Linked DNA regions of Rhinolophus ferrumequinum. The protein of the gene in region 1 purifies or fractionates together with the protein of each later gene. This does not show direct contact. Links are inferred from orthologs where the notes say so. Each region holds a gene or a part of one and is shown on either strand. Other genes may lie near its edges. The genes, in order: RARA and KLF5.

Region 1 (7,726 bases):
CCTGGGCAGCCAGGCCCCACCCCCCCTCCTACCCCCAGAGTTAGGAAGGAGTTAAGGTCTCTGAGGAGGGAGGGAAGAAGAGGACACAAGCTGGGGGTAGAGGAAACTGGGGTCAACAGGATATTCAAAGCCGGCCACTCCCCCACCCCCTCAGCTTCCGCTCCCCCCTTCCCTCTCTGCCTGCAGCCACAGCCCCTCCTACACCCAAACAATCCCCTGGCCTGGGACTCAAGGCAGGGTGTGCAAAGAAGAGTTACAAATGTTGAGCAAAGCAGGCGGGGACTCCCTGATAAGCAGGGGGACCCCCCCCCCAGACAGGGAGAAGAGTCCCTATGGGCCCCGGAAGCCCCTTGCTCTGGGTACCCAGTTTGGGGGGAGCAGCATGACAAAGGGGGTCTGTTCCCATCAATGGTCGGTCTGTCTGGCCTCAATACTATGTCCGGGTTACTATCCCCCTCCCCTCCTGTTATTCAGCTCCCAGAGGGCAGCGAGGAGGGATGACCCAGCCAGCAGGGCAGCCCCCACTCGCCAAAGCCTCCCCAGTGCCTGGCCCCAAGCCCATCGCCCCAGGCAGAGCAGGGCTGGGCTGGGTGGAGGCGTCTATGCCCAAAGCCTGGGCTGCTGGAGGTGAACTGTTCTAGATGGAGACCTGTGACCAAGGCAATCCCACATTCCCAAGGAGCCACCCAACACCTTCCTGAGGCCCTTGCTAAGTCCACTTGTCCAAAGCCAAGGAGGGTCCAGGATGCCTCCCAGGTAGGTAGATCCCTACCGCTTCCCACACCCCAGAATCCTACCTATTGTCACCCCAAACTCCAACACACAAGGTTCGCTGGCCCAAGCACCTGATGGCCATGAGTCTCATGGCCCCAAAGTCCAGGCACAGAGAAAAGCAGCACCTGGACACAGGGCTGGCTGCACGCTGCCACCCTCCCCGCTTACCTGCAGACACGCCAGGGAACGCCAGGCGGGTGCTGACAGAGAACTAGGCCGCCAACCTTGGCAGGGCTTTCCTGGCTCTCAGTAGTGCCCGGGCACCACTTGCCTGGTCAGCCTGGCTGACCAGCACTGCGATGGCCCCACATCCCCTTGCCTGTCCAGAGCCTGGCCCACTGCAAAGGAACAGTGGATGTCCACCCACCCCACCCCCAGTCCACAGACCCTTCACTGACCCCACCCCCCCAGCCCTCTGCTCCTTACCCCAACACGGAACATCCCTGGCCTGGTTTCCCCCCACCTCACTCTGGGGGGGGCGGGAGACAAGCAAATCAGACAGGCAGAGGCCTGAGAACAGCTGCTGGGGGGGCAGGGTTGGGGGGCCTGGGTGAGGCCAGGAGGCAGAGGGGTGAGCCACAAAGAAGCCCTTTGTTGTGCTAACTTTTTCCAAGACGTTACAGGAGTAACAATAGACAATCCAGACTGGTGGGGGGGTGTCAAGGACATAGAGGTGGGGGGGGGGGGCCATGGCCTAGAATCCCAGTCAGCATTCCAACAAGCAGAGGATGGAGGTACTGATGTCCCCCCCACCCCCATCAGCCCTTTGCCCTGGCCCGGCCTCCCCAAGGCCCACCTCTAAAATGGACCAGACTGGAGGTGGAGAAAGGAGAGGGGGAGCTTTGGGGTACAGAGTGGGGTGGAGGGCATGGGAAGACCCACAGGATTCCAGGATGATGGACAGACAGCGCTAAAGCCAGAGACAAGACTAGTAGGGCAAAGACCGGTAGAAATTGGGAGCTCAGGCAAAGTCCAGAGGGTGTTTATGGAACTGAAAGAATGTGCTTTGAAAAATGTTTTTCGTAGGGTGGGGGAATGAGCTCAGGTAGGGGCTACAGTTGGGCCGAGTGAATCCTCCTGGCCACCTACGGACAGCAGCTGGGTGCCTTTGAAGCTATATCACAGTTTATACCCCACCTCCAGCACACCGCCACCTGTCACCCAGGTAACAGAGCTGAGGTTTGTTTCCCTGCGTGTCCTTTGAACTCAGAGCCCTGGCCCAAGTCCCCACCTCCTCAGGCCGCCAGCCAGCAGCCTGGGAAGGTGAGGGGCACTCTGGGACCCTCAAGGCCTCTGTAAGAGTTAAGGACACAGCTTTAACTCTGCCCACACAATCCTCGGGGGAAGGACTGCCATGCCCTGGCCCCTCCCCGCTCACCGCTTCCCCCAGAGGCCCCAGCCCACAAATCTCTCCTCTTCCTGCAGAAGGACTAAGCTGGAGAAGCACCACACCTTCTCAGCTCAAAGTTCCAGAGCTCAGCGCCGGGCTGGCAGCGGCCCAGAAAGCCAGGGTCCCCTCCCAACGGTCCGCACTGCCAGGGTGCCCTTCCCCCCCCCCCCCCCCCCCCCCCCCGCCCCGTCCCCTCCGGGCGCGCAGGAGGCGCAGAGCGCTCCGGATTCCCCACGCCCCAGAGCCGTTCGCAGGCTCGCACAAGGGGCCGGTTTCCTGGAGGAGATCGGCAGGAAATCAGCCGGGCCCCTGGCCAGCGGCTCCCCTCCCAATCCAGCTGGCGCCCGCTCCTCCGCAGCTCCCCTTGCAGCCCCTGGGGAGGGCTGGGAAGGGGGCGCAGGGCCCTTGGTACCGCCCTTCCTCCTCCCGAGGGAGGGTGGGGGTGGCTCGGGTGCTGCAGGGCGGAAGAAGGCCCCTGGCCCAGCAGCTGCCGATAAGCATCTATCCCCCTTCCCCCACTACGGGGGCCACGTGCTTCACATTCTTGGACGTCTGGGAGCGGGCGGAGGCGTGAGCAGCGGAGATTGGTGGGGGACAGTCCGGGAACCACATCCTGTGTACCCCTTGTCCTCTAGTGCCCCCAAATGGGGGCTCTGGGGAAGGAGGCAATGTCCCCGGGGCCCTGCAGGAGGAGGTCTCCTCCTACAGCTGTCCTACAGTCTCTTCCCACCTTTAGTGGAGGAGGCAGACTGGAGCAGAGAACTCCTGCTAGGGGGCCAGAGGACCCCTGTCACCAGAGGACCTCCACAAATACCAAGTGGCTCTTCTAAGGCAGTGGTAGTGACCTCGTGAACTCTAGACAGGGTCTAGTCGCCACCTCCAGTCTCCAAGTCCTTCCAGGGCCTCCAAACACCTCTCCCACAGCCTGGGGGGCTGAGCCCACTGATACCCCACGGACATATACACACACTTACATGGAATGCTGGACGAGGGGTCCAGGCCTGGAGCTCTGCCCCACCCCAGAAAGGGTGTGGGGGACAGACTTCCACTTCCGTCACCTGCCTCACCAAATCCTCCACCTGCCAGACTCCACACTCCTTTTCCTTCCCTTTCAGTTGAAGAGCTGAGCTGTCCCCAAGGGCAAAGGAAGAGACAGGGCTGGAGCTCAAGGTCTCCCATCCCTGCTTCACCCCTAGTCCTCTAGAAAAGGCAGTCCAGGTGGTGAAGAGAGTGACCCTAGCAGCCTTGCCCCAATTATCCACTTGGGGGGCACACGTTTCCTCCAGCTCTGGGAGGATGGAAGGGTCATACCTCACACCTCTCCCTTTTTGCCAAAGTCAACGCACGCTCACACCGTCCCTTCCAGTCTGCAGCCTCTCAGCCATCAGCCCCGGAGGCAAAGGTCAGGGGGCAGGACAAAAGCAAAGGCTGGAGTTAAGGTGGCTCTGGGAGGGGCAGAGGTAGGTGTCTGTCTCTCCTCCCTGAGCAAAGGGGCTGCAGGTTGCCCTTCAATCCTCTCCAATCTGCCAGGCCCCCAGAGACCCACTCCATCCCTCCTCCCTAGCAGGCAGGAGGGAGGCAGCAGGTCTGGGAGGGTGGGAGAAGCTCCTGGGAAAAGTTGAGCCCTGAGGGGGGTTGGAAGAAACCCCAGCAGTGTAACAAAAACACCCCCAGCAGAGGGCCAGCTCTTTCCCACCCAGATACAGGACAGGCACAGCTGGGTATAAACACACCCATAAGTATACCCCAAGCACTTACAGCTCCCACAGTGGACAGAGCCCCTCCCTGCCAGAGGAGCCTGAATCCAGACAGGGCAATGAGGAGAGGAGGTGAGCAGGATGCCAAGACTCCAGGGTTCTCATCAGCGCCCCTCTTAGGGAAGGGGCAGCCCAGTACCTGCCCCTATCCCAAGTGCACACAGGGTAACAAAAGGGCACCGCTGTGTGGGAAGGGAATGTATCCATTTCCACAGTAACTCCAGACCCACAAAAAACACACTCATCCCCCAGCAAACAAACCAGGTTAGGAGCAGGGGGAGGAGGATTCTTCGCACCAAAGCAGCTCTCCCCTCCATTCCCAGGACTGGTGCCTCAAAGATGCCAGCCAAGTGTCTGGGGCCAGGACCACAGTCAGATGGACAGGTGCCCCTTCCCAAGATGGAAGGGATGCTGAGGTGTCTGATGAAGTTGCCCCTTCCTGCCACACCCCACTGCCAACACCCAAGACGTCCATTGCTCCCCTGACACCCACTCAAATGACGCAAGGGCTGGGATCTGGGGAGGAGGCCCCTCCTCCTAGGGGCAGACAAGCCCACAAATAGGACCTTTCCCCCACCCTCCAGGGTGGGAGAAAGGACCATTCTGCTGTGAAGCTATTGGATTCCAAGCAAGAAGATACAAAGTGGGGCAAGGGGCTTCATTTCTCCTCCAGTGGAAGAAGACATGAACAAATGTTTCCTGGAGGGAGGAACCCCCAAAGTTCCTCAGCCCTAATATAACAAATAGCGCCCAGAATTACTCGGGGAGTCCAATTGCCCAGCAAGGACACCCAGGTTTCAGCAAGAGAAACAAGAGAAAGTGAAGGGTAGAGACAAGACCCGCCCCCCCAGGCCCGCATCCCCGGAAGCCCCACCGCCCACCCCCAATCCCTACAATAGGAGAGGAGCGGCGGGTACCTACAGTGATTTGAGCCATTCCAAAGGGGAGTCCGGAGCGGGGTAGAATAGGGACCCGGGGCTGGGAGCCCCTTCTCCGGGAGCAAACAGGCCCGGTTCTGGTTATAAAAATCCACCACCAGGAACGGGTTGGGGGTGGGGGTGAGCCCCCCCACTTCCACACTCTCGTACATCTTCCCCGCGAAGACAAGAGGTCCGGGCGGGGAAGTCCTGCGCACCGCCTCCCTCACTCAGCCGATGGCGCCATCCAGAGAGTGCAGCTGGGGGCGAGGGGCACGTCCCCTCGCCCCGACTGGCAACCTGGGCAGGGGGCCGCCCTCTGCCCAAAGTTCCGTGTCTAAGTCAGCCCGCCGCTCTACCAGTCCCAGGTGGAAGCAGGGAAGTTGTGTGCGCTGGGAGGAGGGTCCCTCGGCTCCCCGCGGGAACGCCCGGCCGAGACCTGGGAACTCGGCGGCTTCACCTCGAGGGGGATCCCGTGTCGAGTCTCATGGTGTCCAAGGCAGAGTCCCGCGGCTCCCCAAGTGCGCCGGCCGGGGGCGGGATCAGCATGGACGCGGGGCAGGCGGGGGGGGGGACCGGGGGGGCGGTCACCGAGCACTTCCTCCTCCACGCCGGGGCTCCTGGGCTTCTCCCGGGCGAGGACTCCGGGTGGGGGTGGGGACCCCGCGCGGCCCCGCCTCCACCAGGCCAGCCGCTGGGGCTCCGGTGGTGCGCGCCGCTGCACCCCACCCCCAGTCCGCGCCCCGCTCCCCTGCGGTCCCACCCCCTTTTCTCCGCCCAGTCGCGTCCAGGCACCGCCCCTGGCTTAACCCTTTCCCGGTTGGCCTGGCTGCAGCGGGCGAAACACCAGGACTGAGGCTGAGAGGCGGCATTTGATGAGCGAGTAGGGAGAGGCTGGGGAGGGGGAGGAGAGAAGAGGGGACAGAAGGGAAAAGGCACGAGAGGAGGAGTACGCCTAGTACAGACCGAGGCCGGTACGGGGAGAGGAGGGGGCTGCGCTCAGAGGTGAGGACGGAAACGGGGCGGGCGTCTCCCCCAACCCAGTTCCGGCTCCCAGCCTCCCCCGTGCTTTGGTCAGTCCCCGACCCAGCGAAGCCACGGCGGGGGAGGTGACGGTGCGAGGAGGGGGGTGGTCCCGGTGTCCTCCCCTAACACACACCCCCACCCAGCCCGGGCCTCATTTGCCTAATGCAATGCGGCTGAACTCTCCCTGAACTCGCCTGGAGGCGCCTCACCTCCGGGTGACCCACCCACCGTTGCCCGTGACATCACTCGCTCGCCAGCCCGGCCGTGGAGCTAGCCCGCCGGCCCCCTCCCCAGCCGAGCCCGGCCAGCTTCCCCCGAGACGCGGGAGGTGAAGGGCGTGCGTTTGGACAAGTGTTAGCGCCGCGGACGCAGCGTGCCGAGTGTGACATTGTGCAGCTCCGGAGCTGTGTCGGATTGAGACACACGGCTTGTGTCATTGTCTGTGACATCATGTGTGACTCCAGCCGCCTGCAGTCCGCCGGAACCCGAGGCGGCAGCGCGGGTGCTTCAGCACAGAAGCGCGCAGAGGGGGCTCTCCTCTGCTCGGCGTGCTTCCGGCGAGCAAAGCCCCGCCCAGGGTGTCTCCCAGCCGCGGAACTAGGATTGCCCCCCCCCGCCCCCACAGCTCAGCCCTAGAAAAATCAAAGGAGGGGCTGGTGCCTTCCAGCTGATCACTTCCTCCTGGAAGCCCCGGGGATGCCTGTTCCGTTGGAAGAAAGGCCCAGGTTGGGTCGGTCCGTGAAGGAGGGGACGCTCCTGGAGGAGATGGTATCCCATAAAAAAGATAGGAATTTACATGCTTCCCAAGGATATTATTCTAGAAGCCAGGTTCTTAACATATATTGTCATTTAATTCCCCTAGCAACTCCAAAAGAAAAGCTATCTTGTAAGATATTCCTGTCTTACAAATTAATTGAGGTGGCAACAACGCTAAGTGGGTTGTCTAAGATCACACTGCTAATAAAGGGTAGAGAGAACTTTCTGTCGCCAAAGCCCAAATTCCTACCATGCCAGGCCAATTCAAGAAAAAATATTAGGGTTGCTAGATGGGCGGGAGGGGGGGGTGAGGGGATTGGAGGGCAGTCGGTGACCACAGGATGGCCACGGGGTTTGAAAATTAATCTGGGGAACGTAATTTAGTGGTTACCAGAGGGTAAGGGGGTTGGGGGGTGGGAGATGAGGGTGAGGGGGATCAAATATATGGTGATGGAAGGAGAACTGGCTCTGGGTGGTGAACACACAATGTAATTTATAGATGGTGTGATACAGAATTGCACACCTGAAATCTATGTAATTTTACTAACAATTGTCACCCCAATAAATTTAAAAAATAATAAGAAAAAAAAAGAAAAAATATTTTCTGAGTACCTCCTATGTGGATACCCTGGTGAGCCTGCCCTTGCAGACCTTATGGGGCAATAGCCATTAAGCAAACAATCGCAAACTTCATATATATATTGTGTGTGTGTGTGTGTGTGTGTATGTGTGTGTGTGTGTGTGTGTGTGTATACACATATATATATACAGTTGCAAACTGAAATAATTGTATTATGACACAAATCCATAGTGTGTTTCGAAAGACAATGTAGGTACCTAATTTTAGGTTGAAGGGTCAGGGAAGACCTCAAAACAGAGACCTACTTAGGTAAAGAGTAAGAAGCAAACCTGTGCAAAGCTCCTGGGGTTACAGAAGTTGGTAAGTTCATTCAAGGAACTGACAGAGGATTAGGCACAAAATTCAAGAGGAAACGAACGAGGCACAAGAACAGGCGGTAGAGGTGGGCTAAGGCCAGACCAGGTGGGCTTGTTGGCCTCAGTAAGGCTTTTGGATTTTATCCTAAATGCAAGGAGAAGCCACAGGA
Region 2 (8,248 bases), on another chromosome or scaffold:
TGTCTGGTTTGTAGAACTGGGCATATCTAAATCCGGTGTATTCAGTAGCTGGTACAGGTGGCCCTGCTGGGGGACAGAAAGATGAAGATCTGGTGTAGGAAGTTCTTGTTTGATGAAAATATTGTTCACCTCTGGAGCTGCGGTCTGGTGTGAGCTGAATATACTGGTGAACTCAGGGAGGGCCTGGGTCGGGGCCGGAGGAGGGGCAGTCGTTTCACTCTGGTGGCTGAAAATGGTAACAGGTTCTGTCTTGATGTGTGTTACGCAGGGTCTCTGGGACTTGTAGAGGCCAGTTCTCAGGTGAGTGATGTCAGGGAGGAAGACGTTCATGTTGATACTGTAAGGTAACCCTTCACTGTCAGTGAAGAACTGGTCTACGACTGAGGCACTGTCTCGTCTATACTTTTTATGCTCTGGAATTATAGAAACTGGAGGAAGCTGAGGTGTCAGATACTTCTCCATTTCACATCTTGTCTAAAAAAGAAGAGATACAAACATGCATAATCCACCCAATTCATCATCTCACCAAGGACAAATAAACGGTGCTTACTAAAAATTCCCCAACAATTCCTGCTGAAAGTACTTGGGCATACTCCTTCTAGTGCTGCTCATATACATTATCAGGTTTATTTGTCAATTGTGTAATAACTGGTTCGCCAAAACCTTACGAAACTCTGCATAACATGTATTTGGTAAAATCGTTCCCACAATCAACTCCAGACAAAAAGTGAATGAGGCAAAAAAAAAAAAAAGAAGCAAACAGAAAACATATTCCTTTCTGATGCAATAATAAAATATACTTCATTACCACTCAGGTACAAACAGGATTCCCTGCCCCATTACACAGTTAAGTTTGCAACTGAAGTAGTCTTGTAATATTGCCAAACAACCTCTATTCCGCTCATGTAATATAAGTAACTAATGTGTTTTTTAACTAAGCAAACCTTAAAAATATTACTACAAAGGGTTGGTTTTGTTTTGCTTAGATAAATATTGCTGAAATATCTAATATAAAACATTCCTTGGCTATTTCAGTGCCTTTTCTGGTTTATAGCTCAATGGAAACCTAAATACAACGTTTTCAGCAAAACATAGTATCCACTGAAAGAACAAAACACGTTCACATTGAACTGTTCTAAATGTTGATTTTAATCAGCAGATTCTGTAATTGGTTAATATGATAATGAAATGTTCCTATTCATATCCCTATCTAAAACAGATCTTTAATTACCTAGGGGAAAATCACTCCCTTGGTAGAGTGGTGCTAAGGGGCCCGTGGGTGGGGAGAGGCTGCTGTATTGCTAGCACAGTCATCAGCAAAACATTTATCACGTCCTCCTCAGTGGCCCAATGCTACATTCCCCCTTCATCTGTAAAAAGCTCAGTCATACCTTACACTCTTGGTGTCCCCTAAGCAGAAAACTGACAAACTGCAGTAACAAAATCATGTTTAAATGATTTTTTGGACATAATCCAGCTTGTAACTAATCTGTCTTTTTACAGTTATCTTCTCTCCCAGTATAACATAAAACTTAATTTTTAACACTGAAAAGGAAATTTTAAAAAAACACACCCCAACTAGATGGCTCATGGTGCTGTTACCGTGGCATCTTACTCGGTGAGTAAGTCATTTCTTTTGCTACTATTTAATTTCAAAAGGGTTTCATATCGACCTCGTATCATTCGGTGTACATGTACACGGGGTTTCCCGGACAGACACGATTTAAAAATAAAAATTAACGCTCTAATCATGTGAGTCGCTTCTCTGACAAACGTCACTGTCCTTTCACAGCGTGGCGACACTCGCAGACCCCCCGGAGTAGGAGCCGAGTAGCAAATGTACAATCTACCAAGGAGCTATTAAATGAAGCGTCTTGAAATAAACCGAACTAAACCCTTTCGTGCACTCCGCTCTCGTGGTGGTTAGTGGTTTCTGATTTTAGCTCTTCCAGCTGTTTGCGTGTGGGTATGTTTCCAATTTTTTTTTCCTTGGGACAGGCTAAAAGTCCCGGGAAGTTTTTTCTGGGCTATATGACTCCCTGCGTGGGCGAAAGAAACAGGCGGCCGCTCTAATTCGGCTGCCCGGCAAGTGTAAAAGCCAACTGCCAGCTTTCAACGCGGCTCCGGGAGGAAATTTACGCGCACATGAAAAAAACAACACCCCAGCTTTCTTTTTAAGGAAAAACAAGCGCTCCAATACCACCTTTGCTTTTCTAACTCCGGCTTCCCAAAGGCGGCCCCACGATCGCGTCTAAAACAGGTTGAGCCAAGAGATAAGAAAACACCCCGCGAGGCCCCTCCCCAGCACCCCGATTTGCGTTTCCACTTAACCCGAGACGGCGCGGGACGGGGGAGCGCCAAGGCCATGCCACTGGGGGCAGGGGGTTTAAGGCGAAAGGCAGAATTGAAGTCAAGCTGGCGTGAGGTCCGAGGTTTGATCCTCCAGATGAAAGAAAAAAACAAAGGTGCGCGTGAGCACCCAGTTCCCTCTTTAACCTTTCACGGACCGACCCGCCAGGGCAGATTCATCTCCGACACCCCTCTCTTCAGGTCGCCCGACTTGCTCCCTGCGAAACGCGAGTGTCCAGGCTGGGAGGGCAGGGCGGGGCTGCCCACCCCGCTCCGGCTCCCCGTGCGCCCCGACGCACGGCCAGCCTGGAGCGGCCCCTGTCGCCCGCGCGTCGCAGCGGCGGGACACGCCCGAGCGCCGGGAGGGAGGGGAGCGGCTCTTCCTACCTGGACCAGCTCCTCCGGGGGCAGGCGCGGACCCGCGGCCGGCGGTGGCGCCGTCTGCGGGGGGTGTGGGGGCGCCGGCTGCGCCTGCGGGTGGTGGTGCGGGTGTTTGAGCTCCTCGCCAGAGAAGAGCGCGGCGTCGCGGGCTGGGTTCGCGGCACCCAGCACCGGCTTGAGCTGCGCGAACACGGGCTCGTCCTGCGGGGCCGGCGGCTGAGGCACGGGTCCCAGGCGGGCGTTCATGGTCAGCACCCGCGTAGCCATGGGCACTCGGGGGGCGGCTCCGGGCGCGGGGCGCGTGTCGAGCGCGCTTCCCACCTCGCCCACGCTGGCTCAGGCCGGAGAACTCCGCGCGGGACCGCGGGCGGAGGAGGGGAAGCTCCTGGCGGACCCCTCAGCCGACAGTAGGCGCGGTTTTCGAAGGCGCGCACGAAAAGCAAAACTCTTCCGCTCCGCCACGCGTAAACGCCAACGTCCTCCGGGCGGCCACTTTCTCCCGCCCCGCCCCACCGCGCTCCCTCACACGCCGCAGCCGGCTCTCGCCACCGCTGCTCTCCGCGAACGAGCTGCGAACGCGCGTACCTGGCCCGCGACTACTGACACTTGACGCCCGCGTCTATTTTACCCAACTCTGAGTGGGCGGGGCTCCCGTGCCAGACTGGCAGCGCTGCGGCGAATCCTGAGGCCCCGGGACCAGCGGGGCCAGAGCGTGTAGCCTATGAGAAGGAAGAAATTCGCCCAGGGCTCCGCCTCCTCCGCGCTGACCGCACCCCTTTCGGGCCACGAGCTTCGCGCGCAGGGCTGCCGCGCAGTTTGTACACAAGTTCTCTGACAGATTGAGCTGGCGGAGCCGGGGGCGGAGGGAAGGAGAGAAGCCGGTGGAATCTAGGAAGAGAGGGAATTAGGGTGGAGACGTGGAGGGAGATCTCCACTGACTGTTCTCTGCTAGAATTAGAGAGAAAGAAGAGTTTTGCATGTCTGAGGTGTTGTGCAAGGACCTGAAACTCAAAAGCTGAAACCCAGAAGGCAGCTAGATTGGGACGCTAAGGTTTTGAAAAACTTATTTAATGAGTGTGTATTTTTAAATAAACAAAATGTACTTTTCTTTAGCGGAAAACTAGGGGCGGTGTGATAAACAAGTTTAAAAACAGATCTTGTCTCAGTGTATCTTGAGCAGTGAATATATCCATTTAGCAAAGCATATTCGGAATGCTTGAATAAAAGGTTTGATGGGAAGTATTTTTTTAAAGTCCTTTCATAAAAGCTTGTTTTTCCCCACACTATTTAAATATTAGACGTTTTCACACACATTTCTACCTCGTATCCGTGTGTGGAGAGGAGGGAGGTGGGCCATATCAATTTTGAAGTTCTTAGTATTTATAGTGTTGATTCGAGCCGAAGCATGGAATCTAATTTAAGCACTAACGACTACATCAAATGTATTTAAATAGACATTACATCTTTGACTTATTTTTGCTAGCACTGTATGTTCAAAAGTGGAGTTTAATATTTACAAAACAGAAACGTAGCACATTTACCCAACACCGTGGCACCTTTTCCTACGAAAAGACAATAAAAGAAGCCACAAACATTAGACACACAGCAGTTCTGAAAACTGGGAATCCAAATTTGTTGGAAAGTAATAGCCAAATATATTACTGTCCACTTACTTACTATGTTATAATAGCAAGGTGAATTTTTGCCATCAGTCACGCAAGGAAACCACGTCCCTTAATCCTTAATGTTCTTCTACATGATTTTATCTGGGTTATTTGGAAGCCAGAACAATAAACTGCAATATAAATGCCTGAATACTACTACAGATGTATACATGTTGACAGCACACCGTACCATTAGACAATTTTACATATATAGCAGCCTACTAATCACAGTAAAACGTTAAAAAAACAAGTTCTAGAAAAACGTTCACTTCAAAGAGTAAATCTATCAAAGTTACGGATCTCATTTCAGTGTGTAGAATTTTAAAATAAATACATTAAGTATTAGAGGTATTTATTTGTTATTAGGAAACAAAATTATGCTGTGAAAAATTTGTCTCCTTTTCATTCCCTTTTGTTAATAAATTATTCATTTTTTTATTGCTGTGATCACTGCTTTTTTTGAATGGTTGAAGACTTACTTTCATGTTACCAAAGTATTATTTCATAAGTGTTTTTGCAAAGTTTTTTCTAAGCAAACAGTCCCATACTATCCATCTTCATCTGTAAAAAGCTATCCTGACTTTCTCTAATATTGAATCTAATTATGTAATTAAATAACTTAGACTATAGAATTGGTATGGGATTTCATATAACTTTTTAAAAATTGAACTTTGATTTTAGTTAATTCATGCTGATAATATGATCAAACCAAGTGTGATATAGATAACTCTCAACAGAACTTTTGTATTGTTTCTAACTTTAAATCTAACTTAGAATTAATACACTTTGGTATCTATTTATATTTTAATTTGCTTTTAAGGCTATCTAGACTTTACCTTTTGTCTTTCTTTTTACCAGAGTATCGGTGGCCTGTTATTTCAACCTAAATTTTCACTGCAGTAATATCCAGTTACTTTACTGGAAATATTTCTATATTTCTTTATTTCACACCATTTTAAAACATGCTTTCATTTACAAAGCTTTCACACCATATTTCACACCATTTTAAAACATGCTTTCATTTACAAAGCTTTCACACCATATTTCACACCATTTTAAAACATGCTTTCATTTACAAAACTTTCCCAGTCCACACAAAAACAAAAGAACCAGCTATCTGATAAATTTTAATAAGATATTTTGATAGTCCTGTTAATTTTTTTCACATTTCCACTTTTCTTAATGAATATAGATATGAACCTAGCTATGGATGGGCTTGCAGCACACTTACAATAGAAATGCTAAATACAATCTTTTTCGTTCAAATACAGTGGCATTTATTTAAATTTCATTTCTGACATAAGGATTGATGAAATAGGACTGTCACTTTTAAGTAATGGTTTCTCTGAAATCCCCAGCTCTGCAATCTCACAGAAAATAACTAGCTTAGCATTGTACAATCGTACGGAGATTGGAAAGTAATCCTTTTTTGAGACATTTGCCATGCGATTCTGAACATATAAAGAACATGTTCGACCAAGCTTACTTGCTGTTGCTGTTCACACAACTGCTACAGCTGCAAACCCACTTCATCGACTTAGCAAAAAGGGTTAAAACTTGATAAATATTTTTCAAATGTTCCAGGTTCTACACTGGCATAATGCCAGACAGTGTGAATGGACAGATCCTCAATTACTTTGAACTTTCTAGTTCTTTGCATTCCTTCCTGCTTAGTAGTGCTGTACCATTAGGGAAGATAGGGGAAAACAAAAAACAAATGTCAGGTTTCAGAAATCAATTAGTGGCCTGGCAGTGGTGTGTTAACTGAACTGTGCCAAAACAGAATTCTGAGAGAAAGAAAGAAAAAAGTTGAGTAGTCAAGTTAGGTAGGAGGGTAAGTGCAGAAGCAGTGTGCATGCTTAAGTCCTTAGTCATTGGGCAACACAGATTTAGTCTTAGAATAAACCATAAGTGTCACTATCTTTACCGGAATAAATACGCCTGAATGTGTGGGGGCTGAATAGGCATTCAAGGATGGGGGAAGGGGAGGCTTGAAGGAGGAGGCAGTGGAAAAAAGTGGATAAATAGCTTCTGAATGATGAGATGAGAGAAATATGGAGCTCTTACTAGGGTAATGTTCACAGGAAGACACAGCAAAAGAAATATCTGTATTCAGTTGTTTGGCCAAAATGGACAGGGAGAGATTAAAATTAAGGAATCAAAGGTGTTTTAGATAACAACATTGTATTCACTTTGATTGGAAAATATTCATGGAATATTCCATTTCTTTAAAATCAAATTACTGAGTGATATTGGGCCACAGGAAAAGCACAAGAATGAGTAAAAAAATGTTTATAAGGAAGTACACTCTTTTCTAGGGTGACATTATTCACTCTTTTGATATTTAGTGCTTTTCCACCTACTGTTAGAATCTGTATCAATAAAAGCATAAAATATAATTATTGTCCTTTAAAACATTTCATGTTTTCAATCCTTTAATTTTTTTCAATAATAGCAACTGCTTTAAGACACATGTCCAAAAACAAAGTCATTGAGAAAAGAACATAATAAATAAAAGCTTCAATGAGTTTAGTCAAAAGTCAAATCATTTTGACTCAAGATTCAGACATGAGAAAAAATGCTCTGTTCATTCCTTTTTTGATGAGACAATATGTAATTTAAATAGGATTATATACTTTTTATATATATTAAAATGTCTTTAAAAAACTTATTATTCTATTTTTTTAATATCTCCCACCTCAGTTCTTAAGAAATTAAATTTTACATTTAAGTTTGTATTTAAATGTTTTCATGAAATATCTCATAAAACTCCCAATGTGCACTTATTCCTACATGTACTGTAATTTATCTAACCTATTTTAAAAATTCTAGTAATATACCAAAAAAGTAGAATTTTACCTTTTGGGGAGACTGCAATTGCTTTTTTCCACCTGGTTAGTATAATAAGCAAACAAAAGTGACATAAATATAAATACCTCAAACCAAGTTATAGGCCAGGCATATTGTACAGTATTTGAATTCTGACTCTAAACATGATAGGAAAGGTGAAGAGAAAACTCCTGAACTGAAGCATTTACACCAAACAATCTTTTAGAACGTTAAGGAGGCCACGTCACTGGCATCACAATGAGCGGTGTTTTGAGCCAATTGCTGTTCCCCTGATGACACCAGCACTAATGGTACTAGGTGAACTGCGCGTGGGTCACAAAGGAATGTCCTTTTGGAGACTGATTTATAAATGAAACGTGTACAAATAGTGCTAAGACCAATGCCGGCGTTTTGTACCTTAACTTCCCATACACTGGTTATGGTTGTGTAAAATGTATACTATTTGAGGACAATTGACATTAAGTATCAAGAAGGCTGAACATGTAAATAACCTTTAAAGCAGTAGATAATTGCCCCTCTAGGAGATGATAGATAGATAGATAGATAGATAGATAGATAGATAGATAGATAGATAGATAGATAGATATTGGAAATAACCCTGGTGTCCAGCAATAGAAAATCAATTAAATAATACATTTGGTGGCTACTGTTCCATCACCAAAAATCATACTAGTAAGAATATTTAGTCACACAGGAAAATACTCATAGTATGTTAAGAAAGAGAAGGTTGAGGTTTTTATAAACACAAATAAAGACGAGAGAAAATACAAAATATGTATTTTGGTGGCTATCATTGGATGGTCAAATGATGGGTAATTTTTCATTGCTTTATACTTTTCAATATTTTCTCAATTTTCCACAAGTGCCCTTTGCAATCAGAATACAGTCGTCCTTCAGTATCAGAGGGGCATTGGTTCCAGTACCCCTGTGGATACCAAAATCCGAGGATGCTAAAGTCCCTTATATACAATGGTGTAGTATTTACATATAACCTATATTTGCAT

The links.
Region 2: the proteins of RARA (region 1) and KLF5 purify together in Homo sapiens (affinity purification with western blotting; 4 studies listed by BioGRID). This does not show direct contact. The link is inferred for Rhinolophus ferrumequinum from reciprocal best matches to the Homo sapiens genes RARA and KLF5.

The regions. Positions count from the first base shown.
Region 1 is NC_046304.1:36,756,310-36,764,035, reverse strand, and holds the start of RARA (retinoic acid receptor alpha), read right to left. Parts: upstream 3,423-7,726; 5' UTR 3,344-3,422; coding exon 3,139-3,343; intron 1-3,138. UniProt on the Homo sapiens protein: Receptor for retinoic acid. Retinoic acid receptors bind as heterodimers to their target response elements in response to their ligands, all-trans or 9-cis retinoic acid, and regulate gene expression in various biological processes.
Region 2 is NC_046287.1:24,731,418-24,739,665, reverse strand, and holds the start of KLF5 (Krueppel-like factor 5), read right to left. Parts: upstream 3,329-8,248; 5' UTR 2,998-3,328; coding exon 2,737-2,997; intron 2,352-2,736; exon of another isoform or gene 2,332-2,351; intron 475-2,331; coding exon 1-474. UniProt on the Homo sapiens protein: Transcription factor that binds to GC box promoter elements. Activates the transcription of these genes.